3 linked regions of the Pelodiscus sinensis genome follow. The protein of the gene in region 1 binds, or shares a complex with, the protein of each later gene. Links are inferred from orthologs where the notes say so. Each region holds a gene or a part of one and is shown on either strand. Other genes may lie near its edges.

What was found. Proteins that work in one complex are often made in the same cells at the same time.
Region 2: the proteins of CFTR (region 1) and YWHAQ are in contact, whole or in part, in a crystal structure (PDB 7QI1), measured with the Homo sapiens proteins. The link is inferred for Pelodiscus sinensis from reciprocal best matches to the Homo sapiens genes CFTR and YWHAQ. Residues at the interface, in NP_000483.3 of Homo sapiens: Arg764, Arg765, Arg766, Gln767, Ser768, Val769, Leu770, Asn771, Leu772, Met773, Thr774; in NP_006817.1 of Homo sapiens: Asn38, Arg41, Asn42, Ser45, Val46, Lys49, Arg56, Arg60, Glu113, Phe117, Lys120, Arg127, Tyr128, Glu131, His164, Pro165, Ile166, Gly169, Leu172, Asn173, Val176, Glu180, Ile217, Leu220, Asn224, Leu227, Trp228.
Region 3: the proteins of CFTR (region 1) and GOPC are in contact, whole or in part, in an NMR structure (PDB 2LOB), measured with the Homo sapiens proteins. The link is inferred for Pelodiscus sinensis from reciprocal best matches to the Homo sapiens genes CFTR and GOPC. Residues at the interface, in NP_000483.3 of Homo sapiens: Val1475, Gln1476, Asp1477, Thr1478, Arg1479, Leu1480; in NP_065132.1 of Homo sapiens: Gly298, Leu299, Gly300, Ile301, Ser302, Ile303, Thr304, Gly305, Glu308, His309, Glu317, His319, Thr347, Lys348, His349, Lys350, Glu351, Val353, Leu356.

Annotation. Positions count from the first base shown.
Region 1 is NC_134711.1:45,168,193-45,178,305, forward strand, and holds the start of CFTR (cystic fibrosis transmembrane conductance regulator), read right to left. Parts: upstream 4,454-10,113; 5' UTR 4,334-4,453; coding exon 4,281-4,333; intron 1-4,280. UniProt on the Homo sapiens protein: Epithelial ion channel that plays an important role in the regulation of epithelial ion and water transport and fluid homeostasis. Mediates the transport of chloride ions across the cell membrane.
Region 2 is NC_134713.1:27,903,729-27,913,449, reverse strand, and holds the start of YWHAQ (14-3-3 protein theta), read right to left. Parts: upstream 4,029-9,721; 5' UTR 3,873-4,028; intron 2,540-3,872; 5' UTR 2,455-2,539; coding exon 2,161-2,454; intron 2,155-2,160; exon of another isoform or gene 1-2,154. UniProt on the Homo sapiens protein: Adapter protein implicated in the regulation of a large spectrum of both general and specialized signaling pathways. Binds to a large number of partners, usually by recognition of a phosphoserine or phosphothreonine motif.
Region 3 is NC_134713.1:84,049,378-84,059,220, forward strand, and holds the start of GOPC (Golgi-associated PDZ and coiled-coil motif-containing protein), read right to left. Parts: upstream 4,029-9,843; 5' UTR 3,702-4,028; coding exon 3,408-3,701; intron 1-3,407.

The DNA of each region.
Region 1 (10,113 bases):
CTTGGGCCCAAGCTTTCAAAAGTGGACTCAAATTTTGAATGCTCATTCTCAAAACCTTAGGAGACAATTTTCAAAGATTCTCATCACCCACAGCTGCAACAAACTTGAATCAGATTTGTGAGTGATCAGCACCTTTGAAAGTGAGGCCTTACATACCAAAAGTTGGACACCAAAAAAAGAAAATGTTTTTAAAAAATAGTGGCCTCTTCTGCAAATGTGGGCATTAATCTCTGTGCATCATTTACCTCAGCTACAAAACAATTAGTTGTTATATTTAAATAAAATATTTTCCAATCCTATAGGGATATGATGACTAACTAAAGTACTTTGAAGGCCTTGGTGCTGTCAGTAGGCAAAAGGAGCACTTGCTTAACTCCACAAGGACTGCTTAGCGTGTGAAGACGATGGAAATACTTTGCCTAAGGCTACATGTACATTGAAAATGTATGTGTAATTGTCATGTGAGTAAGACTGCTCATGCAAGCTTCGATCTAACTGACAGTGCAGTCTGGTCAACTCAGCAGACACCCATTTGTGATCCAGGGTACATACTTGGGTTGCTAGTCTGTTCCAGGTTCCATGATGACACATATTCATCGCTGCTGTTACCCATGCTATCTAAATTAAAGCTGGAATGGGTATTCCTATCTGCACTACAATTACACCTTAACTTGTGGAGTAGACATATCCTAAGTCTTTCCTGGATCAGGGTCTATTTTCTGAGTCAAGATTCATAGAGCCCAACGTCAGAAGGGACCGGTGACAATCATCTAGTCCAACCTCCTGTAGAACACCAGCTATACAGAGCTTCCCCAAAATAATTCCTAGGGTATATCTTTTAGAAAAACATCCAGCCTGGATTTAAAAGTTGTCAGTGCTGGTGAATTCACCACCACCCTTGGTAAGTTGTTCAAATGGTTAATTACTCTGAATTTTAAAAATGTACATCTTATTTCCAGTCTGAGTTTGTCTACATAAGAAGTTTCCAAAGCATAGAATAATGTCTTGTCAATTCTGGAGCTATAGCAAAGACAGAAGTAGCATAATTACAACTTGTGTAAATGTTTTCCTAGTAAAAGTTATTACTTACCTTGTTTATTTTTCATGTCTTCAGCATGAAAAAAATGTAATATTCTAAACCAAAAGCTACTTATTTATTCATAGTTGTAAATGGTTCCAAAAATATCTAATTTTTAAATTATGAACTTTTATAGTCTATACTGACCAAGCCTCTCTTGCTCTCTCTTTTTGCCACCCTGGATCACTTTCTCGAATATTCATAGAAAAAAATGGGTATTCCCTTATTAAGAGTCCATATGTGACTGATTCTTTATCAAACTTGTTATTGTCTGAACTTTGGTTTAAGGTAGAGATTGGACACATTTTAAAAAATGTACAAATACAGCATTGAAATGTATCTGTCTTAACTTCATTAGTTACAAACTAAGATCCAAATTCCTTACTCAGCTATGTTCACATATCTCCCAAGCAGGACACATGCATCTAAGCAAAGAATCTGGCCACAGGTTTGCAAAAAGTAATATATTACTTAACATTTCATATGCTGTCGTCAGATAGCTGAGAACCACTATGATGAATGATATGTTTATCACTGAGACTCCCCTGGTGGATAGTATCTTATCTGCAAGTTTCACCACAGTTATTTCAAATGGTCGTACAGTGACCTTCAGTCTACTACATTACATCGAGATTGGCATTTTACAAATACAAAGCCAAGAAAGAAGCAGAACCCAGTACAAACTGTGAAAGTGAAAATGTCTTAAACTACATGAAGACAGATTATAGGACAATGTTAAATAATTGTTGTTTGAAGGAAAAGTAACTTTCTTCCATTTCATTTTATAAACAAAGGAAGTATTGACTTCTTGATTTTATTTCAGCTGCACTGTTCATGCTACACTAGAATAATAAAAGCATCAAACCTGGTACATGGGATAGCATAAAAGGCACATGCTTAACCTTAAGTATATTCTTAAGTGCTTTCTAAATGAGAATGCTTTCTAGAACAGGGTTTGCTCTTGTTATGCAGATACAATTACACACCAAAATGAAATTCTATCATTTTAGAAAAAACACAGCAAAATCCAATATTTAACCACAAATTTATGGGATGAACCAGTTTATTGAATCTACAAGTGTTTACCTAATGCTATACAAGAGTATTGTTCTGGTTTTGTAAAGTTCATCACACATAGTATTTCTTAAATTCTTTTCACTTCTTATAACTAGATAATTTCACTTGTTGCTGTATGTCAGCTTGCTTTCTAGCAACTACAATAACATATTTCCCCCCAGAAATTTATCCTGACCCTATGAGATAGATACTCTGTTTGGGTAACTGAATAGCAAAGGCATGTATTTTCAAATAAACCAATATACTTTCATAGTTTAAAAATGTTAGCTTTTGAACAAATTTAATAAATAAAAACTATGTATTCTGGCACCCTTCTAAAAGAAGAGTTTTGATGCAACTCTTAATATTCACCATTTTTACATCTAACTAGTGTTAGCCTATTGATGTATCAAATAAAACATTCCAAAAGCACTGAATCGTAAAAGGGATGATATATGTTGAGAAGGAACAAAGAAATCATTTGTAATATAAATGTCCTAGACAACAAATAAACAAAAACTTTGTACTACACAGAAATTTATTAGTTTACCAGTTTCATTCACTGTGAAAGTATGCCCGTATTTACATTTTTTTGTGTTTATTGCAAAGAAAGTTTATTTTCAGTGGGTTGACTTTTCTTCTACCACACCAATTAGCATTATAAAATGGTTTACATATTGGTGACAAGGAGAGAAACATTGAGTATATTTCAGCATGCTTTTTTTTTAATTGCAGAGTAATAAATGTTATATTAGTTGCATTTATTTCAGTTTCACAACAGGCCTAATCCAAAGCCCACTGAAGTCAATAGAAAGATGCTCCTTCAGTTCAATGGACTTTGGATAACTCAAGATACTTAAGCAGATGCTTCACACTGACCATGTGTTTAAGTCCTAGTTCAGACCAGGGAACTTTTGCCTAAAGAAGGGATCAGAGATCATTTTTTTTCTTGGAGTATATTTTTTGAGGCTTAAGCATCAGAGATTCTAAGATACTTACTCTATGATATGTCCCAGAAATAACTAAGATGAAAACAAACTAGAGGCTGGACTAACCTCCCAAAAATATTTTAAAAGAGGCAAAGTTATCCTGAAATCTAGCCATTTTTAAAAAGTGAGTCTGAGGGGTCACACTTGCCAGAAGCAAAATGCAGGACTATGTAGCACTTTAAAGACTAACAAGATGGTTTATTAGATGATGTGCTTTCGTGGGCCAGACCCACGTGGGTCTGGCCCACGAAAGCACATCATCTAATAAACCATCTTGTTAGTCTTTAAAGTGCTACATAGTCCTGCATTTTGCTTCAGCTACACCAGACTAACACGGCTACATTTCTATTACACTTGCCAGAGTCCTCCTGCCATTCATAAGCACAGTTTACTATTTTATAAACTGATTTTCTTACCCCTATTGATGCCTATAGGAAGCAATAAGGAAAACTTTGTAGCTGCGTGAAACCGGGTGCACCCAGTAGGCTGTCAGAGGTACAAAGTTGGGGAAATATGGAGGACGATTTTTGTCTTTCTAATCTTGCTCCCGTATGATCTCAAGTGTTACTTGTCACAGCTCCTGGTAAGGGATTCTCAGATGTGTGATTTGTATGTGTGTACTGCGTGTGGTGATGGTGGTGGAGGAAGGGGACGAAAGAGAACACGCAAAAAGAAGAGAAAAGGGGCCACGGACTTTCAATCCATCAGGACTCGTCTGACCGAGATCTGTGTCTAGGGAGTTGACCCTAAAATCACTTTCAAGAAAAGTGCTGGCGAAGCAAATTCCCTCCGGAGTTCTCACACCTTGCAGAGAAATGCACAGCCGCCTGCCGCGGTTTACCCAGGGCTGCTCAGATAGCCCGCTCTGAATTCACTCCCTCAGGGAGCATCGATGGCACGAGCTGAAGCGGTGTCCGCCCCTAGTGTTCAGAACACAGGCACGACGTGCCCGGGAAGACCACGGAGCGCGGCGCCGGCGGCAACAACCTGGGCAGCGCGAGGCGAAGGGGAGCAACCCCAGCCCGACTCCGGCCAGGCGCGCGGCGGCCGCAGCCCGGGGGCTGAGGATGCAGGATCCGAGGGACCCCGCCGAGCCGCATGTCGCGCGCTGCCGCCCGCCGCAGGGCCCGACCCCCGCGCCCGGCCCCGGCTCTTACCTGAAGAAAAGTTTGGAGAAGACGTTGGCCTTCTCCAGGGGGGAGCGCTGCATGGTGCCCGGGGCCGCGCAGGGAGCTGCAGCGGCGGCTACTTGCGAACCTCTCCCGCGCCCGCCCCGCTCCTGCGGCTCCCCCACCTTATGCACCCTGCCCGCGCTGATGTCATTGGCTCCCTCCTTCCCCTGCCCCTCTCCCCGCCTCTGCTGTGTCCACGGGCCCGGCCTCCGGCCCCCGCACCCCGCCTGGCCTCGCCCCTCCGGCCCCAAAGGAATCCTCCTCCCAGTCCCGCCCGCCGCCGCCAGGTGCGCGCTCCGGGACCCCAGCCCCGAGTTCCCCCGAGGAGCCCCGCGCTCCAGCGGCTGCCTTGCGGCATGAGGGGGCTGGCCGCGGAGCCTGGTGACGCCCTCGGACTTACTCGCCCCACACTTGTGCTTCGGGGCTGTGTGAAACCGTGAGGCTCCAGAGCCCCTTGGGGTCAGGTCTCCCCCGGATAATCCCCCCCACCCCTCGCAGTTTTCTGGGATCACTCCGACCCCCCCCCCTGCTCCTGGGCTCCAAACGGACCTTTCCTTCCCCCTAGGAAAGCCCCTTCCCCTGCCCAGGTCACCTCTGCGCTTTCTGGGTTGTGCCCAGGGTCTTATTCTCTGCCCCCTGCCACGCAGTCTTTGTCTGGTACTGTGTAACACGGCCCACTCCACAGCTCTGAGCCCAAAGTATTGCTACATCCCATCCCCACCCCTAGCTCGGCTGGTAACTCAAATGCCAAGCACAACACGTTGCCGACCTAAAAGAACTGGCAGAGGTTCACCAGGACACCTGCTATAAAGCCAATTTCGCTCTCTGTCAGCAAATCCTCTGGAAGAGTTTATGGAAAGAAACTCAGACTCCCACTTTACAATGAAAGACTTGGCATTTAAAGCATCAGAAGAAAAGGTAAAACTCGGCGAAATCAGGTGCAAAGGCAGTTGAAATCCCCGCTACTGCCTCATATTTTATAAACTGCTCAGTACACCTTGTTGCGTTAAATCCTGGAAGGCTATTGTTAAAAGTGTTAGGCACACATTGACATTGGACTGGAGCAGATTAATAGGGAAGCAGGCTCTTTGAACTGAGATTTTTATTATCTCGAGGCCTTTGGCAAATTTGTTTACTGTGAAATTACCTGATTAATTTCTGCTCGAAATTAATCTAAGTGCAAATGTTAATACTCAGTAATAAGGATACTCTCATGGAGTGTCCAGACCCCATGCTGTCTTGGCTACAAAAGGGTTACTGAGATTGGGCAACTGCCTGCCTGCTCAGCTGGGGCTGATCAGGGGACTCAAAGCAGCTGAGAGATTTTAAAAAAATGTAGAGCAAAAAGTAGGTGAGCAGCAGCCTTCAGTAACAAGTTGGTAAGATACTCCTCAGGAATATGGACCCTCTAGGGGATGGGACCAAAAAGGTAACTGAGGAACAGCTTGAAAGGTAGGTATGCTAGGTAGACAAGGGTAACATGAAGGAGTTGGAAGAGCTTGATGCTCTTTTGTCATAACAATGGCCATGTTGGGTCAGACCAGAGGTCTCTCTAGATCAGGGGTGGGCAAATATTGGACAATAGGCCAAATGCAGTCCACTAGGGTTAGTCCCTGTTGGGCCCCCATGGCACTGTATTTACCTGCATTCTGCAGGTGTGGGGGATCACAGCTCCCGTTGGCTGCAGACTGCTGTTCCTGGCCAGTGGGAGCTGTGATCACCCATACCTGTGGCAGCACAGGTAAATATAGTGGCAGCAGCCCACAAGTGGCTCACTCTGGGGAACTGCTGCTGTTTTATTGCCCACCTCTGCTCTAGCCCATTCTTTCAAACAGTGACTGAGGCCAGATGCTTTAAAAGGAATTAACAAAGCTGGGAAATTATTGCATGATTTATTTTCTGTCTTTTAGTCCGGTTTCAGACACTCAGAGGCTGAGAGCAGTGCAGAACCTGGGCTTATAGTCATTGATGGACCTACACTCCATGAATTTATCTTGTGTATGGTTCCTAGTCTGGAACCCAGGAAAGTGGGTTCCCTACCAAGCCCATGATGATCAAGAAAAAGTGAGCCATATCCAAAAGAGCCAAAAATTGTGTGCCCCTCAGCCAGGGATATTGACCTCCTAAAATTTTGGACTTTTTAAACTCCTCTTGCCCCTAAAAAAGGTCAAGGGCTCTCAGGGACCTGGCCAGACCTTGTCCATAACAAGGAGTCAATGAGCGGGCTGGAAGGTGGACAGGCCCTCAAAAAGGACACTTACCTGATCTAGCTATGAGAGATGCTGAAGATACTGAAATAAAGAATTATATCTGCTGCATATTTTTACCCTATTTCCATACTGGAAATGATTATCTAACTCACGACTGTAAGAAATGAAGCTGTGCTTTTTTTTTTTTAAACTTCCCAAGAACAATGATACTGGCTCAGTGAAGGTGGGATGTCACACATTTCATAACATTGGCTCAACAAACTATTATTTATGGAGTACAATATGTGTGCATTAACAACAAGGTACCTGGTTCCTGCACCCAAAGAGATTAAAATCTAAACATAACCAAAGTGCTGACAAGCATACAACTAACATTAGGAAAAACACTGATCACAGCATAAGAACATACGGTTATTTTGTTGAGTTATTCATTGTGTGATTGATCCTGGTTTGTTTTGTTTAATACCGTGGTTTTGCTATTTAGACACTACATTTGTTGATTTTGGTTTTTATGGTTTTTGTATTTAAAACATTAGATATGGAAAGGGTAGAGGAGAACTATCTTTCAGCAAGTGCATAGTTGCACCCCTCGGTATATTGTCTAGTACTTTATCCAGACTAGTTGCATCTCCAGCCCCATGCCTTTCTTTTTCCTTGCAATTTATGCTACCATTTAATTAGCTGTCATTCCTAGGATACTTTTACTGATATTTTTCTTTCTTAATTTTATATCATTATTCCTAGTTATGTCCAACTGTACTCCCATAAATAATTCTTCTTCATCTTGGTGTTATTACCGCATAATATATGAAGTTGGTTAATGTCTCCTCTTATGGAGTGGCTAAACAAGGCTTTTTTGTCTCAAATTTCCCACTGATCTTACCTGTGATAGCAATAATAGGCGTGTCAGTATCTTAAGCATTAGGGCAAACTCATCCTGCTTAGATTAGGTCTAGATGATGCTATGCTTGAAACATCAATGGCTGTTAAGCATTGTCTATTCTAGTATTCTCACTGTTGTGCTCACTAGTGGAGCTGAATTGGTGATAGCAGCAGTGTGAGTCTTGAGGAAAAAGGGCTAGTGGAGATGTCCCACTTAATTATTGTTCAGACTTGCGATGAGGCATCTGCCCCAAGGGTTAAATCCAAGCCTGGGAAAAGGCTGGGGCTCTGAAGCAAGGAGCTGCATCATATAGCAGCCAATTAGGGCACAGAACTCCTGCTGAATGCAGGCATGTGTCCTAAACCCTGGATTAGTCATTCTCCTCCTATCCCAGGGTATATCTACACTAGCTCGTTAATTCGAGCTAGATAGGCAAATCAGGCATCCAGAGTTGCAAATGAAGTCCTTAGTTCGGATTAACTTTAAACTGCCGTGGGCAGTTCGTTCAAATTAAGGGGGATTTAAAAATGGCGGCCAGACTGGAACATGCAAATAAAGCCCGGGATATTTAAAGCCCGGGCTTCATTTGCAACTCCGGTTGCCTGATTTGCCTATCTAGCTCGAATTAACGAGCTAGTGTAGACATACCCCCAGTGACTTATTCACAGTGGAACAGCTTCAAGGGGAGATACTAAGGGAATTCCAATTCAGAATATCTCAGAGCTGGCTAGTAAAAGCATCTACCTAACATTTCAAAAGCTGTCTTTCACCTCTTCACTCCCCCCCCCCCCCCCCCACATGGAAGAAGAAAGGGCAATGAACTTGTGTCTCCCACATTGCAGGTAAGTGCTCTAGCCACTGGGATGAAGAATATAAGGCATCTTGTGTGGAGCGTCGAAGGCACCTAACTTATTCTTGCAAGAAATAACTTGAGCACCTAAGCTGACTGCAGCTGGTGAGTCCTTGTTCATGAATTGCTATAAGCAGCTAGGTGCCTCCTTGCAGCCTGCACTTAGGTGCCTATCTGGGAATGAGGCTGGAGAAGTGTATGGTGTGGCTTAGCATGCATCCTTTTCTTCAGCATTTCCCATGGGTTAGTTTAGGAAGCTCCCTACCTAGCAAGTTGTTGTTTGTGGATCACATTTTTAATCCTAGGTATCTCATTCAGCTTTGTAGATTAGTGTTGTTCCTGTGCACATTTTTTTAACCACATAGGTGTCTAAAAGTTAAATGTTGTGGCACTTAACATTATAACCAGTGTTTCCTATAAGCTAGACCCTCATGCAGTCACTCAGGAGTAATTCAGATGCCACCCAGCTGATTAGCACAGTACCCACAGCTAGATATTTTGTTTCTATCCCTGGTTCACATAAAAATTATTCTGCACATAGATGGAAAAAATAGAGGGAATATTGGTTTCAATGCTCAAGTCCCTTTGGGTTATTTCTGTTCTCTCTGGTGGTTATGGCCTCTTCCAGTTTAGTGTCTGTGAATTTCAGTAACATGTTCTTTACTAGTCTAAGGTGTTAGTCTATAATTGGGGAAAAAAATGAATAGTTCTGCAGCACCTTAGAGACTAACAACAAATGTAGATGGTATCATGAGCTTTTGTGGGCACAACCCACTTCTTCACTTACTTCCATTTTCAGAAATGATAAATAAGTCCCAATCTGAAACCAACAATTTTATCCACTAATTTTATACATTTCCAGTTATTTTTACTGCATTTTGCTCAAAAAGCTTAGTAAAAGATAAAGTCCCTGATCCAAAGATCTTGTCCTGTGGCCTTTTTCAGCAAATATTTAACATAATGCACTAGATCAGCCACAAATGGAAGTTAGAAGCAAATAGCACATCTGAATGAAATGGAGATATACAAGTACATTTCAGTGACGCTTCAACCCTGCTAAGAAGACATTTGAGGAGTCCCCCATACTGAGAGTTAGATTAGGTCATATGCCCTGAAGTGAATGAAGCAGTGCCACTTACACTAGGACTGAAAATGGCCCAGGGTGTTCTGTTTTATGATTGTGGTTTTAACCATAAAAGTAAATGAATTGCTTTTCAAATAGGATATAACAACACTTCAACAATTTATTGGTGTATTAAATCCTAGGGCACCACTGAAAACAAGGTAGACTGGTTTCATCATAATGGCTATTAGAAGGGCTTTCAGCACTAGGATAAATTCAACACTCTGCTATGCTGCTGAAGAAAAAACTTTCAAGGGGGAAAAAAAGCAAAAATATATTAACTTACCAAGTACATAGAAAGTGATGGACAAATCAAATTCCATTTTCTGTCCACAAATCAGGTACGACATAGGATGCGACTATTCAAGTTTCCCTTCTGTCAACATGCTCCTACTGGCACAGGGAGGGGACTACATCTAAACATCATTTAATGTAGTTCACTCTGTAGCTCTCCTGAGGCTTCCAGGTCAGACACTGGTTAATGCTGCTTATGGTGGTTCCTGTGTCATGGATATGCCTATAAGAAATGGGATGAGGATACCAACTTGTTTTATATTAACCAATGAACAGACACCAGAGGCCAGGAAGCTTTGGTCACTCATGACCAGGGCCAGAGCTGATCTTCAGATGAGAAATTCTGATCAGTCCTTGAAATCATCCTACTTTAAATGAAATCCTGGCCCTACAGAAGTCAATGGCAAAAATCCCTGGCCAGAGCTACCCTCTGCGGGTATGTCTACACTACCACCCTA
Region 2 (9,721 bases), on another chromosome or scaffold:
TTGCAGATCCAGACTAACAAGGCTACCCCTCTGATACTAAACAGAATAGTCTCTTTTACTTCTTATTGAAAACGCTGGGAAGTTTATTCTTTATAGTGGCAGTTTCAATCTTTCAGTTGCTGACTCATGGAACAAAGTAGCAGAATGAAGAAGGTAACCAAGAAGAAGTGGGGTAGAACTGCAGATGGTACTGGGAGGAAAAGCAGCAGTATCATAACTAGCAGTGAAAACTCATAATGAACCTCCCCCCCACCCCCCACAGGAAGTTGTGCATCAGTGTCTTTGCTGATGACAGGGAACAGGAAAAGCATGTGACTTTGTATGTTCTGTCTTCACTACTTCCTGCAGATTTTAGGGGCAAATTAAACCAGGCAGTTGCCAATCAGACCCCAGATGAGAGCAGAGGGAGCAGGTCCAGTCAAACAGATACTCAAATACTCTTTGTGAACACTACACATTTGCATTAGCACTGCTACATCTGTTACTAAGCACCAATTACCTTAACTATGTAACTTCAGTATAGACAAGACCCCAAAAGAGCTGGCTCACTGTTCACATCTCATTCAGTTCCAGAGCCATTAGGCCACTTATCACAAAACCTCTTGAGAATGCCATTTGACAGGAAGTAAAGGGGTAAAGCCTCAAAGTCTGGAGGGTTGGTTGTGCGTACCAATCTCAACATGCTGGTGGCTAGACTTCATCACAGAAAAGGAGAGATGGTGTGAGGGAGCTCCATGGTAAAATATTGGCAGCACATCACTAAATCTAATTAGAATTTTGTCACAGGAAATGAGAATTACTCTAAACCTGTGGTTTATGAGTCATGCTATTAAAAAAAAGTTTTACCAAAATTTTAACCATGTCTGAAACATTAACAGGTTTTTAAAGAAATGAAATATCCTCTAAGAGTGTTAAGGAAAAATAATTGGTTTGACCCATTTACCAGGTTGTTTCATATACAACTTTGCAAGACGGCTTACAATTGTTAACTCATATTTTTAATTCAAAAAACTAGGTGGCAGCATATATTGGAATGTGTATCTCCACACAACCCAGAAAGATGTCCCCCCCCCTTGTCAAATGAGTTAGAATTCTTGGCTTGAATTTGCTTCTCAATAACTACTGAAAAAGACAACTAGTCTCCTGATCACCTGGATAAATCTGAAACACATTTATTTTATGAACTTGCTATCACCTCTTCCTAAGATACCACCTGAAATGCTGTTTTATCATTATACTGGTGATAAAGTAATTCAAGATTATTTATTGCTTCCAGCTGTATTGCACATCTAACTTTCTGCAGCCAGAACTTTAATTGATCCTCTGGAATAGGGTGCTGCATATTCTTCACGGCTGACACAGATTCAGCACCCACTGTATTGCAGCATATTTGTACTATTATGATCATCTAGATGACTAGGGTACAGTAAAAAAAATACAAACATTGCTGTACTATTATATATTCATCTGCAGTACTTCTTTCAAGCTTAAATCATTGGTAGTTTTGCATTATTCTACAACCATTGCATCTCTATTGTAATAGGCAGTCTGAGAAGTATATTTGCAAGTGCCGAATGCCTGCTTTTCTACAGATTTAATACTTGACTCTTAAGGTTTTATATTTTATACAGTATATTTTTACTTCAAGACCTCTTATGAAATTATTCATGTTATACAAATCTCCTCTTGACCTAAGGTAACAGAATTTTGTGACCACCACCCAAATGAGCACTCCAAAGCCGGTCATTCAGATATTACACTGGTTAACCTGGATGGTTACAAAAGCGTTATTAACCAGGAACCACAAAAGGAAGAAGCATCCTTGTTTTTCCTTCCAACCCTGTTATGCTCAACTATCTGCTGTACTTACACAATGGTGCACACAATCTCGAGCTCAAATCCTTCCGTAGCCCCCATAATTACAGGAGTGATCCATATTGATCTTCCCTCTCACTGCATCCTCCTTTCCCACACTTCATTACAACTAACTATCCCTGCTTCCCTCAGTAGAGTGGTGCAATGGCTTATCCCACACCCCAGCAGAGTGTTGCACACAGATCTCCCACACCCAAACCTATGTATCTCAACAGAGCTAAGAACAGATGCTTTATATGTCACTTCCAAAGGACTGCAAGATGTATCCCCAGATCCCCCACTCACCAGCACAGTGGTGCAGATGGATCGGAGCTCAGACTCTACCTTCTCCCGATAGTCCTTGACAAGCTGCATCTTCTTGTCATTGGTGTCTGTTTTCTGCTCAATGCTAGAGATGACCCTCCAGGCAGAGCGCCGTCCCCCCACTACGTTCTTGTAGGCTACCGAGAGCAGATTGCGTTCCTCATTGGATAACTCTGCACCCTGTTCGGTTACTGCCTTCATGCAGGTAGCCATATCATCATAGCGTTCGGCCTGTTCAGCCAGCTTGGCTTTCTGGATCATCTCGGTCTTCTCCATGGTGGCTGGCAGTGGGGAAAGGGCAGCAAGGCAGAAGGAGAAGCTGATGCTGTCACACTGTCAAAAGGAGAAGGCACCTCAAAACCTGCCAGAGGGGAAACAGATTAGCCATGACTCTGGGAGCCAAAAACTACAGGACACCACACTCTGTCCTTCTCCAAGACTCAGAAGACATCAAGCCAATCATCATTCTATTAATCAAGAATCACAGACCATAAAGGATCTCCACCACTACACCACCTCAAAAGCTATCTTGGAATGAAGAACCTTAGGCTTATATAGCCAGCCCATTTCACAGGGAACTGGTCACAGGACAAGTGCTCCAGGGTCTCTACAGAAGGTTAATAACCCAGAAACCATGACAGGGGAAAAGATAACTCAATCCCTCCCCACTGGAGCACAATCTACAGAGCAGATGGTGGGAAAAGGCACTCCAGTCTCTTCAGAGTGGCTTTTGTTTCCACCTCCACTTTCCTCCCTCTCACTCCTGTGTGCACTAGCCAGGCTTGCAGCCCGGGAATACTAAAAAAAATTAGAGGGGGAGGAGAAGAAATAGACGGCTGGAAGCCATTAACCTAAAGGGGCTATCTCCAGGAGCCCTGCCTAAACGCTTCCCTCTACGCCTTGTTTCAGAGAGATTTGCCTTAAACATGGGTACCGTGGGGAATGGGGCTAGTAGAATAACCACCGACCGAAGGGCAGAGACAGGAGGACGAACAGGATGAGACTGCCCCAGAGGACACGGGAAGGAGAAGACAGGTATCTAGCGCGCGTCTGGGGACACAATGGCCCCGGAACAAGAGGATCCGAGGACGGCATGGCAGTTCATGCTCCCGCGGGGCAAGCGGGGCCCCCGCTGCTGGCAGAGATGGGGGGGTGCCCCGAGATAAGGAGACACAATAGGGGAATCTTTGTCCCTTGGCGAAGGAGGCGGCGCGGGAGCAGGCCGGGCGCTCACAGGGATCCGCGTCCCCAGCGCAAGGCCGGGGAAGAGGCAGCACTGGGAAACCACTGCCCGAACCTCCCCGGCAGGGCGGCGAGTCTCGATCCCTCGGGGGAGGGCGGGGACGCCGGAGTCCCATCCCCTTGGGTGGTGCGGCGGGCAGGACTCGCTCAGCCCGGGTGGGTGGGGTCTGCAGGCTGAGCCCGGAGCGGGCGGGGGAGAGGCAGCTCCACGCCTTAGGCCGGGCCCGGCCGTTCTGCCGGGGAGAACGGCGCTCGGCAGCTCTCTGCAGGGCAGGGCGTGGCCCGTGCCCAGGGGAAAGCGCTGCGTCCCGGGGCGCCGCCGGGTGCGAAATGGCGGCGGCGCTGGCGGCATCTCCCGCTTCCCGGCGCCGCCGGAGACTCCGCGCCGCGCTCACAAAATGGAGGACGCGGCGACCTTTCTCATTCCCGTGGCCGATCTCGGTCCCGCTCACCTGGGTCCGTTCCGCAAGGCCGGGCCGGCTCACGCCGCTGGATCGGGTGCGCTCCGCTCGGGGCTGGGGCGAGGAGAAAGAGCCGCTCCTATCTCAGGCGAGAGCCAGCGCTAAAGGGCGTTGGCACAGGCAACCCTACCCGCTGCTAGACCCGCGCTCCTACGGCCAATCCGAACGCCTGCTCCTAGCCGGGACCCGCCCTTCGCGTGCGATTAGCCAATCCAGACGTAGCGCGCCGTCGCGGGGGTGGGCACAATCAGGGCGCAAGCTCGGTTGGTCCGTGGGCTGCGGCTGGGGCCACGGGGTTTCCTCCAATTAGATCCAGGGTGAGCTAACGTCACTGTAACTATGGTAATACTGCTACACCCCCCCCCCTCCTCCCTTCCACGCCCTGCCCTAGCACTGGAAGCTTAGTCTGGGCGCGGCACGAGACAGTGCGGAGGTGCGGCTGGGCGGCTCGTGCTGCTGCGGCTGGGCGGGGCAGAGGGGGACTCCGGGTTCGGAGAGCGGGTGGCAGCGCGGGGCGATGGAGGGCGGGCGTTGTAGGGAGGGAGCGTGCACTGCTAGAGGGGAGGTGCAGAATGGACGCTGAGGGATCACTGGGGATTGATGGGGTCGGTGCGGGCTCCATGCGGCGCTGCCCCACCCCTCCCCTTTCCCCCCCTCTTTGCTGCCTGCCTCTATCTGATAGAGGCAGCAAGGGGGAAGAGCGACTAATCGAGTAGCCCTTAACATCCTTACTCTGATGGAGGGGTGGGGGCGGCAGGAGGGGGGATAGAGGTGGTGGGACGTGCTGTGAGCTATATTACTGAAAGGTGAGTATGAAGGTTAGTTAAGTGCCACTGAAGTTTAGGGTGCTGTGAAAGTAGCTACTGGGGGTTCAAAAGGATGTGGCTATGGCAGTGGATAATGAAAGACCAGTGAGCTGTTGAAGGTGGGTTGTAAGGATTAGTGGATTCTGGGATGGATAGGGTGGTGGATGGTATTACTACAGGAAAATTTATGGGGAATAGGTGGGTGATGCTGGACTAGTTTGGTTGGGGTGTGCTTGGGGAAATAATAGATGGATATTGGGAGGTGTGGAAAATGATTGTGTGTTGCTGATTGGTAAATGGGTGGGAGCTATGAGGGAATGAAAAGGAGTTAACATTCAAAATTATTTTTCTCCTCCCCTTCAATAATAGTCTGTGTCTATCCTGGGTTTTCATGATGGTCAGCATATCTTGAGAAATGACTGAGCACTTTTTAAAGGCTTTTTTTCCTCTTTTGTGTATTTGGGAATAGTTGATGAGGGGGTATTTGTAGAAGGGTGTAGACTTGAGTGGATAAGTTTGCCTTTTTCCTTCGATGGAAGTGAAAGATTCATATGACAAAACAAAAAAATGTGGATTGAGTTTTCCTTGATTTCAGGCCATGTCACCAATCTTTGATTCCTCAGCAGTAAAAATATGCAGTTGATGATGCAGACAAGAACTCCTCCTTTTCCAAGAGTTAGACATTTATGATGGAAGGAGTTATGTCTTTTTGGAGCGGTTAGTCTGGAGTAGGAGTGAGAGGAAGGGGGACAGGGAGAAAAAAGGTAGGAAAAGGGATGGTATAAATTTGTCCTCGTTTCTTTACCTAATGATGGTGTTTGGAAGAAGTTTGGTAATTTTTCATGTAAAGGCAAGAGCCTCAGAAGCAGGGAAGGGTTATTTTCTCTCTGCTGACTAGAAAATAAGTTTTGCAGCCAGCCCTGGAAATCTTTTTCCTGGCAACCAGATTTGGCTGCTATGTCCCTTGAAGGTGTCCAAGAAGGTAGAACAACTGCTCTGTATTGTGGATAAAAAGGCTTGGTATGAAGGGCTTGGTTGGAAAGTTTAGGATTCTTCGATCCTTGTGTTAATGGACAGGGGAGACAAGGCAGGAAGAAATCCTGGTTTAAACAAGAAATTGTTCAGTCTCTTCCATTGGTTTCATCTAGAGGTTGGCAATATCAGTGGACAAATATTCCAATCTTATGATCATACATGCTGTTATATGTAAGATAAATGTTTATTAAAGTGTCATCTGGCCATGATTTAATTAAAGGTGACCCCTCCCCAACAGTCTTGCATGCAATTCTTAAATACAGATTGAATGATCCCGCTGGACCAGTTTTGGCATAGTTGATTTTAGACAGGCACTGAGTACAGGCCGCTTGAGCCTAAGAGGAGGAAGAAGTATTGTGGTTATGTTTTTTATAGCTAATCTGAAATGCAGGAGTTGTACCTCAAAGCTGAATTAAATGCATACTTTAAAAATGAGTAGTCCTGTTGCACCTTAGAGACTCATGATTCTGCTACAGGACTACTTGTTGTTTTTAAAGTTACAGACTGATATGGCTACACTTCTGAGACTTTTTAAATGCACACTTGTGAGAGTTCTGGGACTTATTCTAATAGGCAGATCATCCTGCTGCATTGCAAAGTTCCTGCATGACCTAATATAGTTTCTTACCACAATGGTTTTGGGATCTCCAAGGATGACATTTCTCAGTAACTTAAACATCAATCTTGGATGATGAGCTCTCTATATTAATCCAGGATTTCATGGGGACCATGAAGATGAAGGTATTAGTGGCTGAGATTCTTTATTTAGTGTGTGGTTAGGACTTCTGTTTGTTTAAATCTGCTGTCTGTTAATTTCATTGGGTGATCCCTGCTTTCACAAGAAGTAAGAGAAGTCAAAGGGAGAGTGTTCTCCCTTCACCTTCCTGCAGTGTGGACAGCACCAGAAGTTCAATTAAAGTACTTTGACTTCAGCTACGCAATTAACATAGCTGAAGTTGCATATCTTAATTCAACCTTATCCCATAGTATAGACATATCCCAGTTGAGCTTCTGCTGATGAACCCTATTCAGTGCCTACTTGAGTCTGAATCATGGAGAAGAGCTAGTTGTATGAAGCTCACTGACACAATGCTGAAAGAACTGGAAGATATGGCAAGGGTTATTTCTGACCCTTAATTGGCAGGTTTAAGCTAGCCCAGTGTAATAAAAGTTTGCAGTCTGTGGTATCCCCAGCTGTTGTTTAATGGGTCATATAGACCAGTGATCAAGAAAACTCTCTTCAGTCACCAACAGGGCAGGGGAATATAATTGTTTCTTTTGGTTGCAAACCTTGCTACTGCAATCTATTCCTTTGTATTCTCAAGACTAAATTTCACCGTAAATCAACCTGAAAACTGAATAATAGAAAATTAGGGTTGGAAGATCTCAGGAGGTCATATAGTCCAGTGGTTTTCAAACTATTTTCCTTGTGACCCATTTGAAGAAAATTATTGATGCCTGCAACCCAACATAATTTGACTAAAGCGTGGCCTCTGGGGTGGGACTGAGGAAGAGAGCTTTTGGGTGTAGGAGAAGGGGGCTCTGGCTTTGGGGGATTAGGGCCGAGATAGGAGGGGATTATCTTGAGTAGCTTCCCGTCAGCTGTGCAGCCAGGGGTGTTAAGGCAGGCTTCCTGCCTCGACTGACACCATAGACCATGCTGTGCCTCAGAAGCTGCTGGCAGCAGGTTCTTAGCCAATGGGAGTGTGGAGCTAGTGCTCAGGGCACAGGCATTGCGCAGGCAGGACTCCCCAGCTGATCTCAGGTTCCGGGGAAGTGCAGCACAAAGCTGGGGGTCAGCTGGGGAGTCCTCAGCTGACCCTGGGCTCCACTGCCCTTGTAAAATGGGTGGAGGGGGCAGTTTCAAAGGGGAACCCACTGCACAGCTCCATGTGGCACTTCCCCAGAACCTGGGATCAGTTGAGGACTCCCAGCTGACGCCGGGCTCCCCGCAACAGTGGAACCCAGCGTCTGCTGAGGGCTCCCCAGTTGATCCCGGGTACCAGGGAAATGCTGTCGGGAGCCTAGGGTCAGCTGGGGAGTCCCCAGCTGACCCCAGGTTTCAGGGGAGTGCCACTCAGAACTCCTAGGAGCATTCAGTGTAGCATGGAGCCCGGGATCAGCGGGGGACTCTTAGTCCCCAGCTGACCCCAGGCTCCATGGCTTTGAAATGCACAAGACTGCTGGGGACTCTTGTGCATTTCAAAGCAGGCACCCACATGCAGCCCGGAGTCAGCGGGACTTCCTGCTGGCACCGGACTCTATGCGGAGTTCCTCATTCTTCCTTTGAAATGTACAAGTGCCTATTGACTAGTCAATGGAAAATTAGTCAATTAACCACATTTTAACATCCTTAATTCAAAGGGATTAGAGAGGCTATCAAAATAAAAAACCTCAATATTAGTGGGGGATTTCAACTATCCCCGTATTGACTGAGTACACATCACCTCAGGATGGGATGGAGAGCTAAAATTTCTTGATACCTTAAATTACTGCTTCTTGGAGCAGTTGGTACTATTTGGTATCCAGGAGGTGGGCGGGCATTAGCCCGCCCACATCTAAAGGACCTCCCCCCATCCTGAGGGGAGGGTCCACTGAATCTGGAAAAACCAACTAATTACTGGGGACAAATAATGAAAAAACAGGTACGGGTGTGAGGGTCAAAGGGTTAAAACGAGGGAACTGGATGGGGACACCGAGCAGAGAACCCCAGACAGTGCCCACTGCCCCCCGAAGGTCTCGAGAGAGCAAGCGGATGCTGCCCATTGGAACTCTGCCCGGATACTTGAGCGGATGCAGGAACGGAAATAGGCCCCACAGTCGCAGGCCCCTCCCCGGGCCAACCTCTTCTCCCTGGTTTTGTAGATTGCCCATTTGGCCATAGCCAGGAGGAGGTTGACCAGGAGGTCCCGCGACTTTGTGGGGCCACGGATGGGATATGCGTAAATTAACAAGTGGGGGGAAAAGTGCAGCCAGAACTGCAACAGGAGGTTCTGGAGGAGCCGAAAGAGGGGTTGTAGCCTGGCGCACTCGATGTAGATGTGCGCCAGCGTCTCCCTCACGCCACAGAAGAGGCACATGTCGGGGGTGGGGTTGAACCGCGCCAAGTACACGCCTGTGCTCACTGTGCCGTGCAGGATTCTCCAGCAGATGTCCCCGGTGGGCTGTGGCACCAAGGTCGAATAGAGGCTGGCCCACCGGGGCTCCCCACCCTCCATTGGTGGTAGGAGGTCCCACCACTTGGTGTCTGGGCGGGACATGAAGGTGGGGAAGTGGAGCGTGTGAAGCACGAGCGTGTACAGGTGACTCTTTGGCGCGGTTTGGAAGGGGACCGGCGGCATCGCGTGCAGCCGGCTAAGATGACGAGGGGGAGGCAGTCGGGAAGGTACACAGGGCTTGGGGCCAATGGAGAGTTCGGGAGGGCTGGGGGTGAGGGGTGGGCGGGGTGCACCCTCTCGCAGGACCTTTTCGAGGTAAACCCGAGCAGTGGGCGGCAAAGCGTCCTTCACCTCCTGAAGTACGCGCTGGGGAGTACGTAGGGTGGAGAGCCCCATGTGCTGGGCGAGCGCCTGAGGATCCACCCAGTCTCCCCGGCGGTAGTCCAGGAGGTCTGCGACTCTGGTGGTTTCTGCCAGGACCATTGGAGCAGTTGGTTCTTGAACCCACAAAGGGAGAGGCAATTCTTGATTTAGTTCTACGTGGAGTGCAGGATCTGGTCCAATAGGTAAATATAGCTGGACCACTTGGAAACAGTGACCATAATGTAATGAAATTTAACATACCTTCAGGGAGAAAAACACCTCATCAGCCTAGGACTGTGGCATTTAATTTCAGAAAGGGGAACTACACAAAACTAAGGAGGTTAAACAGAAATTAAAAGGTACAGTGACAAAAGTAAAATCTCTGCATCCTGCATGGAAACTTTTCAAAGACACCATAATAGAGGCCCAACTTAAATGTGTACCCCAAATTAAAAAACACAGGAAGAGATCTAAAAAA
Region 3 (9,843 bases), on another chromosome or scaffold:
CCTCTGGAACACCTGGCATTGGCCACTGTCGGCAGACAGGATACTGGGCTGGATGAACCTTTGGTCTGATCCAGTATCGCCATTCTTATGTTCTCATTTTCTCTTCTTCCCCCGCCTTGCTGCCTCTATCTGATAGAGGCAGGAAGCGGGGAAGGAAGTGACTAGTCAGCTATCCTGTCAATTATCCAATCAGCAAATTGATAGTCAATTAGTCCTTCACATCCCTAACTTAAGATTGCCCAAAATGGATAGAATGAAAACCACAATGCACAAAATAATCATTCAAAAGATACTTCAAAAAGATAAAGACAAAAAAAACCATCAAACCCCCCCAACTGTATATATCAAAGATATATTAAAAGTAATTGCTCAAAAGAAAATTATTTAACTAAAATTAAGAGCTTTGTCCTCACTTTTCAAGCAATCCCTCCCAGAGGACAGGTGTATGTATGTGAGAGGGCATGCATGTCCAGATTTTGGTCAGGGTTTATATAGTCTGCCCAGAACCCCGCTTTTATAACACCACAACCTTTAAATTAGAGGTTTTCAAAACTGAAGGACATATAGAAAAGTTCCAGGGGATGAGCAACACTGCGTAGCAGCTCAGTCTTCAGACCCATGTGTTTGGAAGGGAACTACCTCTTTCCTTTGACTTGCATATTTTTGTCTGTGTTGGGAGGAGGGGTACAACCAAAAAATTTAATTTCAAGAGGGGCTCAGTTCAAAAAGTTTGAAAATTGTGCACCCATTAAAAGAGTTACCTGTTACCTCTGCTCATTCCACAATTCCAATACCACCTTCAGACTTCATTGCTGCTTATATCCAGTCTCAGTCCCACTCCATGTACTCCACTGAAGCATCTCTCTTAACTGTTTCCTTTTTCTCTTCCTTCATTCAAGCCTTAATGATTGTTTCCCCCAGTAATTATACAAGAATTTGCCAGTATCTTCCTTCCCCTTCAAATAGATCATAAAACTCACCTGTTTCCCAAGGTACAATAAAACTGAATTGCTCTTCCAGAACATGCTATCCATGCTGATTTAGTCTATGGCACCACTATATTGTGGCTATATGCATTAGATTTATCAAGCAGGAGACTTGCCTTATCTAATGTACAGCAACACGCATACACATAATACAACAAACAGCAGTCTGGAAAGAACTTCCATGAACTATAAGGAAGTCAACTTTGTTCACTATAAACTAACAGGCCGTGGGAGAGAGGACAATCCTTACCTACAGACAACCCCCCCAACCTGAAGCAAATCCTTTACGGCATCTACACATCACACCTCAGATACACTCACCTGGGAACCTACCCCTGCAACAAACCCCGTTGCCAACTCCATCCCCATATCTATTCAAGCAACAGCATTATAGGACCTAACCACATAAGCCACAACATCAGAGGCTCATACAACTGCACATCTTCTAAAGTGATATATGCCATCAAGTGTCCCATTGCCATCTATAGTAGCCAAATGAGAATAAATGGACACACATCAGAAATGGTAACACACATAAACCTGTAGGGGAACATTTTAACCTGCCTGGTCACTCAATTATGGATTTAAAAGTAGCCATTTTTCTACAAAGGATTATCACTAACCAATTACAAAGAGAGTCTGCAAAACTGGAATTTATCTACAGATTTGATACAATTACTCTGGACTTACACAAAACAAAGACATAACTAGTTGGCATATTACAAAGCCAATTTCTCCTGCCATTAACAACTGACAGGTACGTCTGTTGCTATACATAGCTCTTGATTGAAGAGTTCATCCAATGAAGTGGGTTTTGCCCAAAAAAGCTCATGATTCTATTAGGGATGTCAATGTAGAACGTGGCACCAGAGGTATGTGTATCAGAGGCACCAACGGGGGAAAGGGCGGAAGGGAGGAGCCGGTGCCTGTAGGTAGACAGCTTTAAGCTGACTCCCCACGGTCACTGGATCCAACTGCCCCTCAACCTGATAGAGAGGCAGCAGCATGAAAGGCAGGAAGCAGCCAGCTCTCTGAGTGTGCTGGCTCTGTGGACCAGCCTGTCCACTCCTCCACTGCCTCTTACTGCGGGTCTGGGCTCACCGTGGACAGAAGCTGCTCCAAAGCAGCAGCCCCTGTCTGCGGCGAGCTCAGGCACCACATGGACAGGGGCTGATGCCACACTGCCCTGTTGCCTCTCAATCAGAGGCAGCAGCACAAGATGGCAGGGAGTGCCTGGCTGCCAGCCCCGCCCCCAGAGACTATCGAATAGTTGAGCAACCATGCCCTCCTCCTTTCCCCAGTGTGCCATGGCTGGCGAGGCTGGAGCCATGCCACATACCCTACGCCCTCCTTCTTCTTCTGGTGCTCCAGGGCTGGAGAGGTGAGGTTGGGCTGGGCTGCATGGCACGCTCGCCTCCGGAGCTGGTGAAGCCAGGGCCATACCGTGTACTCGGTCTCCTGCCTGGGGCTGGAAAGGCTGGGGTGAGCGCATTCCTGCCCTTCCCTCCCCCTGATTGGGAGGGGGGAGCACAAATGGGGCCTCAGCAGAAGGGGTGGGGCTCGATGTGAGGATGGGAGCTTGTCTCCCCCAGCCCTGCCTTCACCAACACCCCATGCTAACACTGATACCCCTCAGAGATGATCTACTGAACTTGTACTCTACTTTTAAATATTCTCTAATCTTAGCTACTGCATTACTAATACTCAAAAGACATTTTGCAGACCCATGTCTTGCTACCCAGAAGAAGTGGGATTAAAATCATGGGCAAAATGTTTTCTTCCTACAGTCAGCTATTTCTGCAACAGACCAGCTCTAGCTAGTTTAATAGCTCGGGGTGACTATATAAATGGCAATTTTAGTTACTTCTGAATCATAGAGCAATGAGAGAACCACAGTTGGTGACCTAACAACCCAACCAGGTTCTTACACTGCACATCACCATATCTGAGTTCAGAGAATTTTTAAAGCATGCTCTTCCCTGCTTCTTTCACTAGGTAAGAGTGCTTTCTTGGTTATGGATTTTTTAACTTGATCATCTGATTAGGTGATGTTTTGATTTGTGAAAAAATATTCTAATTAAGAAGTTGTGTGTTTTTGTACTGGTCATTCATTAGTCCGGCCCATAGCTGCCATGGGAAGCCAAGCTATGACTGAGGAGAGGAAAAGGTGCCCCAGCTAGCTAGAGCCAAGTGCAGAGAAGACAGTGGACAGAACAGACACCCTGAATCCCAGCCTGCCCCATGGGAGACTAAGGCAGCAATCAGGGCACTGGGGAAAATCCCCACCCCGCGTCGGTCAAGCCCTTTGCTTCCCAGTTCCCCCAATAACTCAGCACTCGGCTACCCAGCCCCACCCCCCGCGTGCCCCTTCAAACCTCCTCCCCCGTCTGGCCACTTTCAGGTCCCCCCCCCCGCCCTCACCTCCAGCTTGTGGTTGATCTGGGACACGGTCTGCGCCTTGTGGCAGAGCTGGGCGAAGCAGGAGCTGAGGCTGGTCATTTTCTGCCGCCCCTCGTAGGTGATGTCCGCCTGGTCGGGGTCGATCTCCCCCAGCAGCAGGTCCACGTCCACGAAGGCCTTATCGAACTCCTTCTCCAGCACCTCCAGCCAGCGGAACATCGACACCCCCCCGCCCGGGGAGGAGACGGCGGCGGCGGCCCCTCCGGCACAGGCCCCGGAGCCCGAGGCGCAGGAAGCGGCCCCCACGCCGGACATGTTGACGCCCCTCGCGGCCTTGCGAGGCACCCGCTGGGCGCGCGCCCCTCCGCCTCAACGCCCGCGCGGCTCTCGCTCTCACTTTCACACACCTGCGCGCGCCCGCCTCAACGCCCGCAGGATGCGGCGGCACTAGCCTCCGCTTGGCTCTGGTGAGAGGAGCACCACGACCCCACGGCGCATGCGCTGGAATGCTGACAGAGTCTGGTTGCGAAGCGGCGCTCTGTCGCCGGACGGGGCTCGTCGATTGACTTGTGCTGCCTGCCACAACTGAGACCGCACCTCAGGGAGCCTGGCCGAACGCCACGCCATCGATCCCAGCGCCAAATGTGACAACTCACACTTTGCGCAGGCGCCGCCTGCTGCAGCGGCCCGGGAGGCGGGACGGGTCTGGGCTGTTGCAGTTCCCTGCGCGCTGCAGAGCCGTCGCCAGGGGGCGCTTCGCCCTCCCCTCCCTTCCCCAGTCTCCAGATCTGCTCCCGTAGCAGCTATTGGCGCACTAGTGGTCAGATTTGGCTCATCTCAGTTTCTGCTACCCATGCACGTCTCACTGGTCCGGGGGCAGCAAAGCCAGACAGTTGGCTGGGGGTTCAGCCTTTACCACCTGTGCACCCATCACTGGTACAGAGCCTCTGGCAGAAGGAGTAGGACTGTGGGTTTGTGCCCCCAGCTAGCCCATCCCATGCCACCCAGGGCACTAGCAGTGATTTGCAGGGCCCAGGGCTCTTTTAAATCACTGGGCCCTGGGGCAGCTGCCCTTCCTCTCTTCAGAAGCAGAGGGGGAAAGAGAGACAGGGAGACACTCAAATAGAGTATCTTATTTCAATGCTATTTCAAAATAGCATATTTTGTCATCAGCACCAAATTTCAAAATCAAGTGCTATTCCAAACTGTCCCTTACTCCTCGTAGAATGAGATTTACAGGGTTATCGGAATAGCAAACCCAAAATAATGGGCTTGCTGTGGAGACGCAGGATAGCTATTGTGGGATACGTTGCAGTGTAGATGTAGCCTCATTTTGCTTCACTTCACTCATGCTTGACAAGTGGGAGGAGGGGCCAAGGCTCAGTGCTTCCCACCAGGGCTGGATTAACTATTCTGGGAACCTGGGGCTTGTAGATTTTGTGGGTCTCCCTTCGGTTCTGAGGTGGGGCCAACAATAAGTTGGTGTGGAGTGCAGGCAGAATGTAGAGTGCTGTAGTGGGCTGAGGTTGCAGGGTCTGGGAGTGTAGGAGAGGGGCGAGATCTGGGGTATAGGCGTGGGGTGGGAGTGCAGGGTCTGGGAGGGGTGAGGAGTGGGAGAGGGGGATAAAGGTGCATGTTCTGGGTAGGTGGGGGCAACTATCTAGCACAGCTCAGGGAAGGGGGATGCAGGTGGCTCTACATGGCTCCCCGCTTGCAGGCAACTGCCCCCCCATGCTCCCACTGGCCGCAATTCCTGGTCAATGGGTGTGCCTGGGGTGTAGCCTGCAAGTGAACATAGGTGTGACAGGGGCTTGAGCCCCCGCACTAAGAGCAGCGCCGCTCCGGCACTCTGAGGAGCGGGCTCCGAGTCGTGCTGGGTCTGCCGTGCATGCGCGGCCACGCGCCCAGAACTGATGGGGCTTGGGACCTGGAGGAGAGGGAGAGCGGGAGAGCCAGAAGGAGCGGAGTGGAGGCTGGTTGTGTTTTCCCCAGCAGGTCACCGGAGGGATGTGGGTGAGCCGAGAGGACCCCAACCCAGAGTGCCCAGCCCTGTCCAGAGCAGAGCAGAGAGACCGGAACCCAGGAGGAGAGCCCCGCTCAGACATTGAGTGACGGGTACAACCGGAACTCTGGGACATAGACATTGGGGGAAGGGAGGCCATACAGGGAAAAGAAGCATAGAAGGGACAGAGCGGGGAATACGGCACGGGTCGGACCCTGGAGGCAGTCCCTGGACTCTGTTACAATAAGGATAGAGCTTTCCTGCGCTGCTGTTCCCAGAGCCGCATCCTCCCCCTGCCAGGCAGGCCAGATGCACCACAGGGAGGAGCTTCTGGGGCCATATTCCCTCCACCATTCAAGCCCCCAATGTGTGCCCACTTATTCATTGGTATGTGTACACTGGCATGCCCCTGAGGGCTGTCTGCTGGCAGCATGATGCAGTCCCAGTCTGTTCATTCTTTCTTCACACATAACCTTTCCGGGTCTCTAATGATTTTGTGTGGCTTGCAGATCTCTCCATGTCTGCTACATCTTTTTGGAGGTTGAGTGACTAAAAGTGAACCCAGCCAACACTGCAGGTGAGGGCAAACTCTCAAGTAGGCTGTGCCTATGAAAGCTCATGATACCATCTACATGTTTTGTTAGTCTTTAAAGTGTTACCAGACTATTTGTTGTTTTTTAAGTTTGTCTTGTTACAGACTAACACGGCTACCCCTCTGAAACTTCTCAACTTATAGAATGGCATGGAAATTAAAGTTCTCGCAGTTAACTCGAGTGATTAGTGCAAAACAAATTAGCAAGATTTTAAAAAGCAGTGGTAGATGATGCCTGAGCTATGGTGTTGGGAGCTGTGTGAAGCAAGTAAGTGGCCCCCACCTCCTCCAAGACAAGACCCCGCACCTCCAGCCCCCTCACTCATTGTCCCTCAAGCCAACATCCCGCACTCTGAGCCCCTCACCTCTTCTACGAGACCCTGAATTCCCAGCCTGCTCCTGCACCCTCCTCTCCTCTTGCACCCTGCCCCCCTGGCCAGACACCTACCCCCAGACAGGGGGAGTTGACAAGCATAATGAGCAGGAGATGCAGCCCCCTAGTAAGAGAGAACATTTGTAAAGGAGCAAAACCACCATTAAAATGGGTTACAAGGATGGGTGTGTAATTCAGGGAATCACAGCGAGAGATAAGACAAATTTGTGAACTGTTAAAAGACTTCATGTATAAACTGATGGGAGACTTTTAAATCCTCAAAATGTGTTACTCCCTCACATGCTGCATGTGGAATGTTTGCAGCATTCTATCTTCTGTGCTGTAGCAGTGCAGAGAGAGAGGCGCTGTGGAGGATAGCCAGGAAAGCCAAGGCATTAGGGCAGCTGTACCTTTAATAGCACAATCAGGAAGCTGCCCTGTGCTCCAGCACTGGTACATTTCTCCCTGAGAGGGGAAATAAAACCCCTCTCTGCTTCCCTTCGTGCCCCCCCATCCCTGCCTTTGCACACGCGGCAGATGGCTCATCCCCTTAGGTAAATGTTACCCCCTTTGTCCCTCCCTGTGTGGGGGCAAAATCCCAGCACAGGGCCTATCAGCATCTCCCCCTCCACCAGCTCCAATCACCCCCCCACACCCGATTTTTCCCTTCCAGCCCCTGTTCTGCCTCACACTAAAGTTAATTGACTCCCGAGGCTGGTTAATTTCTGTGCCCTGCCCTGCCCATCCCCCACTGCAATTGCCTCCTAACCCCCCTTTTAATGATTGTAAAAAGCCTGGAGCAGCATCTGAATCCATGTAAGGGCAGAGTGAGGACAGTAGCTCTTACTGAGCATGCTCAGTTCCAGTGCAGGTGCTCAACACCCTAGGTATTGACTTTTGAAGCTCAGCTGCTTCTCACTCTACACCAGCCCAGAGCTGTTGGTGTTGGTCAGAGGCCAGGAGGTGCTCCCAGGAGCAGCATCTCTGACCTGCACCATCTGGCCCTGCAGTGGTCAGGCTGCTGTGTGCCTGCAGCTCAGCCTCATGCTTGTGGGATGTTGGTGGCGGAGCTTGCTGCAGGGCCTTCCTATGCAGGAAAAGAGCAGCAGGGGGCACAAAGGATCCCAGCCCTCCCTTCTTTCCTTTGGTATTTGAATCCAGTCAGTCCCCTCTGGTCTTCCCACCCTGGGAACTCCAACTGGCCCTGTCTTTTCCTCCTGACCTTCTCCAGCTTTCTGCAGATCACTCCTCCACCAAGTAACCCCAGCTCCAGAAAACTAGCTGGCCCTAGCCTCCAATCCCCCCTAAACTATCCAGCCACACCTGAAACCTTGACAAATCTAGCTTCCCTTATATACCTCTCATATTGACCCCACTATCACCAATCTGCCACAGTCTCCAGACACCTCCATCTTCTACACAAACCTGGCTTTCTCCCCACACAGCACTTCCCACCTTCCCTGAAACCCTTCAGCATGCACTCATCTGTCACAGCTGACAAATTTTGTGCAGCTCCATGTTCTGTCCCTACCACTGTTTGGGGAAGAGTTCATTGACTTCAGAAGCCACAGTCATGGTCATATGTGTATTATATGTATAACTTAATTAATGAGCTATACTACATCTGTAAGTTGCATACAATGTCACACATTGAATTGCACAAGACTTGGCAGTTATGTCTGTTTTGTGTATCAGTTTCCACATCTGTAAAATCTGGTTACCTCACAGGAGGAATTAATGTTTGTCGTACCTTGAGAACCTTGGATAAATGTGCTGAAGAAGAGCAAATGCTTAGTATTGTTACAATATCATTACTGTCTGGTAATTACCAATTGCCAAGAACCAGCCAGTTCAAACACCTAATTCTGCAATCCATATTCAAACAAAAACTTGATCTCAGGAGGGAGATATTCTACAGAGTGCATACTCCATGATTAGGTTCTGATTCAAAAGGGAGAATTTTGTTTGTGGAAGGACTGAAAATCCAGTCCCAGACTTTGATATTCATGTGCTACCATCTGTTGGTGGCCAGAAGTAAAGGTATGTATTGCAACTATTTTCAGAACTGAGATTTAAGATATAGAGCAGGGATGGCCAACCCATTCCAGACGAAGAGCCACAATAGTAGTGGAGACAGCATGAAGAGCCAGGGCAAAGTTGTTGAGAGAAAGAAAAAAAAACCCCACCATGCAGACACTGTCCCACAGCTGCTTTGTTTGTTTCTTTCTTTCTTTATTTGTTAACAGCTTTTCCCCCAGTCTTCACAGCCCTGCCTTTTGTTTGTTTGTTTGTTTGTTGGCTCAACAACTTTGCCCTGCCTTTTCACACTGTCTCCACTGCTATTGTGGCTCACAAAAAAAGCACTGGGAAGGGGTGAGAGGTGCAAGCTCTGAGAAGGAATTTGGGTGCAGGAGGAAGTAGAGAAGAAGATGCTGGCTCAGGGAGGGGGCTCCAGGCTGGAGAGTGTTGGGATCAGGTGGAAGGTTGGGGTGCTGAGCAAGCCGCAAGCTTGTGGCTGTGAGGGTGCAGGAGTTTGGGCTGGGGTGCATGAGGGGCTCAGGACAGGAAGGCTGGGAGTATGATGGGCTCAGGACCCAGATTTGCAGTGTGTGGATGGTTCAAGAGTGTTGTGGCAGAAGACTGCGGCTGTGGGGGTGCAGGAGTTTGGGGATGTGAGAGGCTCAGGACAGGAGGTTCCAGTGTATGATAGACTCAGGTTTGCGGTTTGGGGGGTGCAGGAGTGTTATGATGCTGCAGCCAGATGGGGGCTTGGCCCCAATTGGGGGCTTGTTGGCCAGGCTTCATTTTTAAATAAAATATTATGTCAAACACAAAATGTTTCAGCGTTGTCTTTATTTATGAGAGGGGTGGGGTACCTGTTTTGAGTCAGGGGTCACTGACCCACAGAAAAGTCAGTCGGGCCACACAAGCGAGATGCAAAAAAAATCCCCTCCAAAACCCCCGAAGCCTCACTAATGTGGCCCCAACTGTGCTGGTGGAGGCAGCAGACAGGGTGCTGAGGCAGGGTGCTGGGGAGGGGGGATCTGGCCTGGGGGAGAGGACAGAGACAGCTGGAGCCAGTACCTGGGGATCCCAGGTCTGAGGAAGAGCACAGGCTGCTCTTCCCCTCCCCTAAACTGCTGGTGCACTTCCTGAAATGCCTGGTCTGTTGCTCTGCCAGGGACTTCCCAGGGGGGTGGGAGTAGGAATCCTGGTACTGCTTGCCAACTCCAACTTCTCAGGAAGTGCATGCTCTTCCTCTGCTCCCCATGACAGCTGCGTGCTTCCTGAGAAGTTGGAGCTGGCATGCAGTCCCAGGATTCCTACTCCCACCCCCCTGCACAGGCAGGCAGCAGGGGTAAAAGTTCCTGGTGGTGCGACAGACCCGGCATTTCAGGAAGCAAGCCAGCTGTTTAGGGGAGAGGAAGAGCAGCCTGCTCTAACCCAGTCTCCCTCCCCTTCCCCAGAGCCAGGCACACCCCCCCAACCA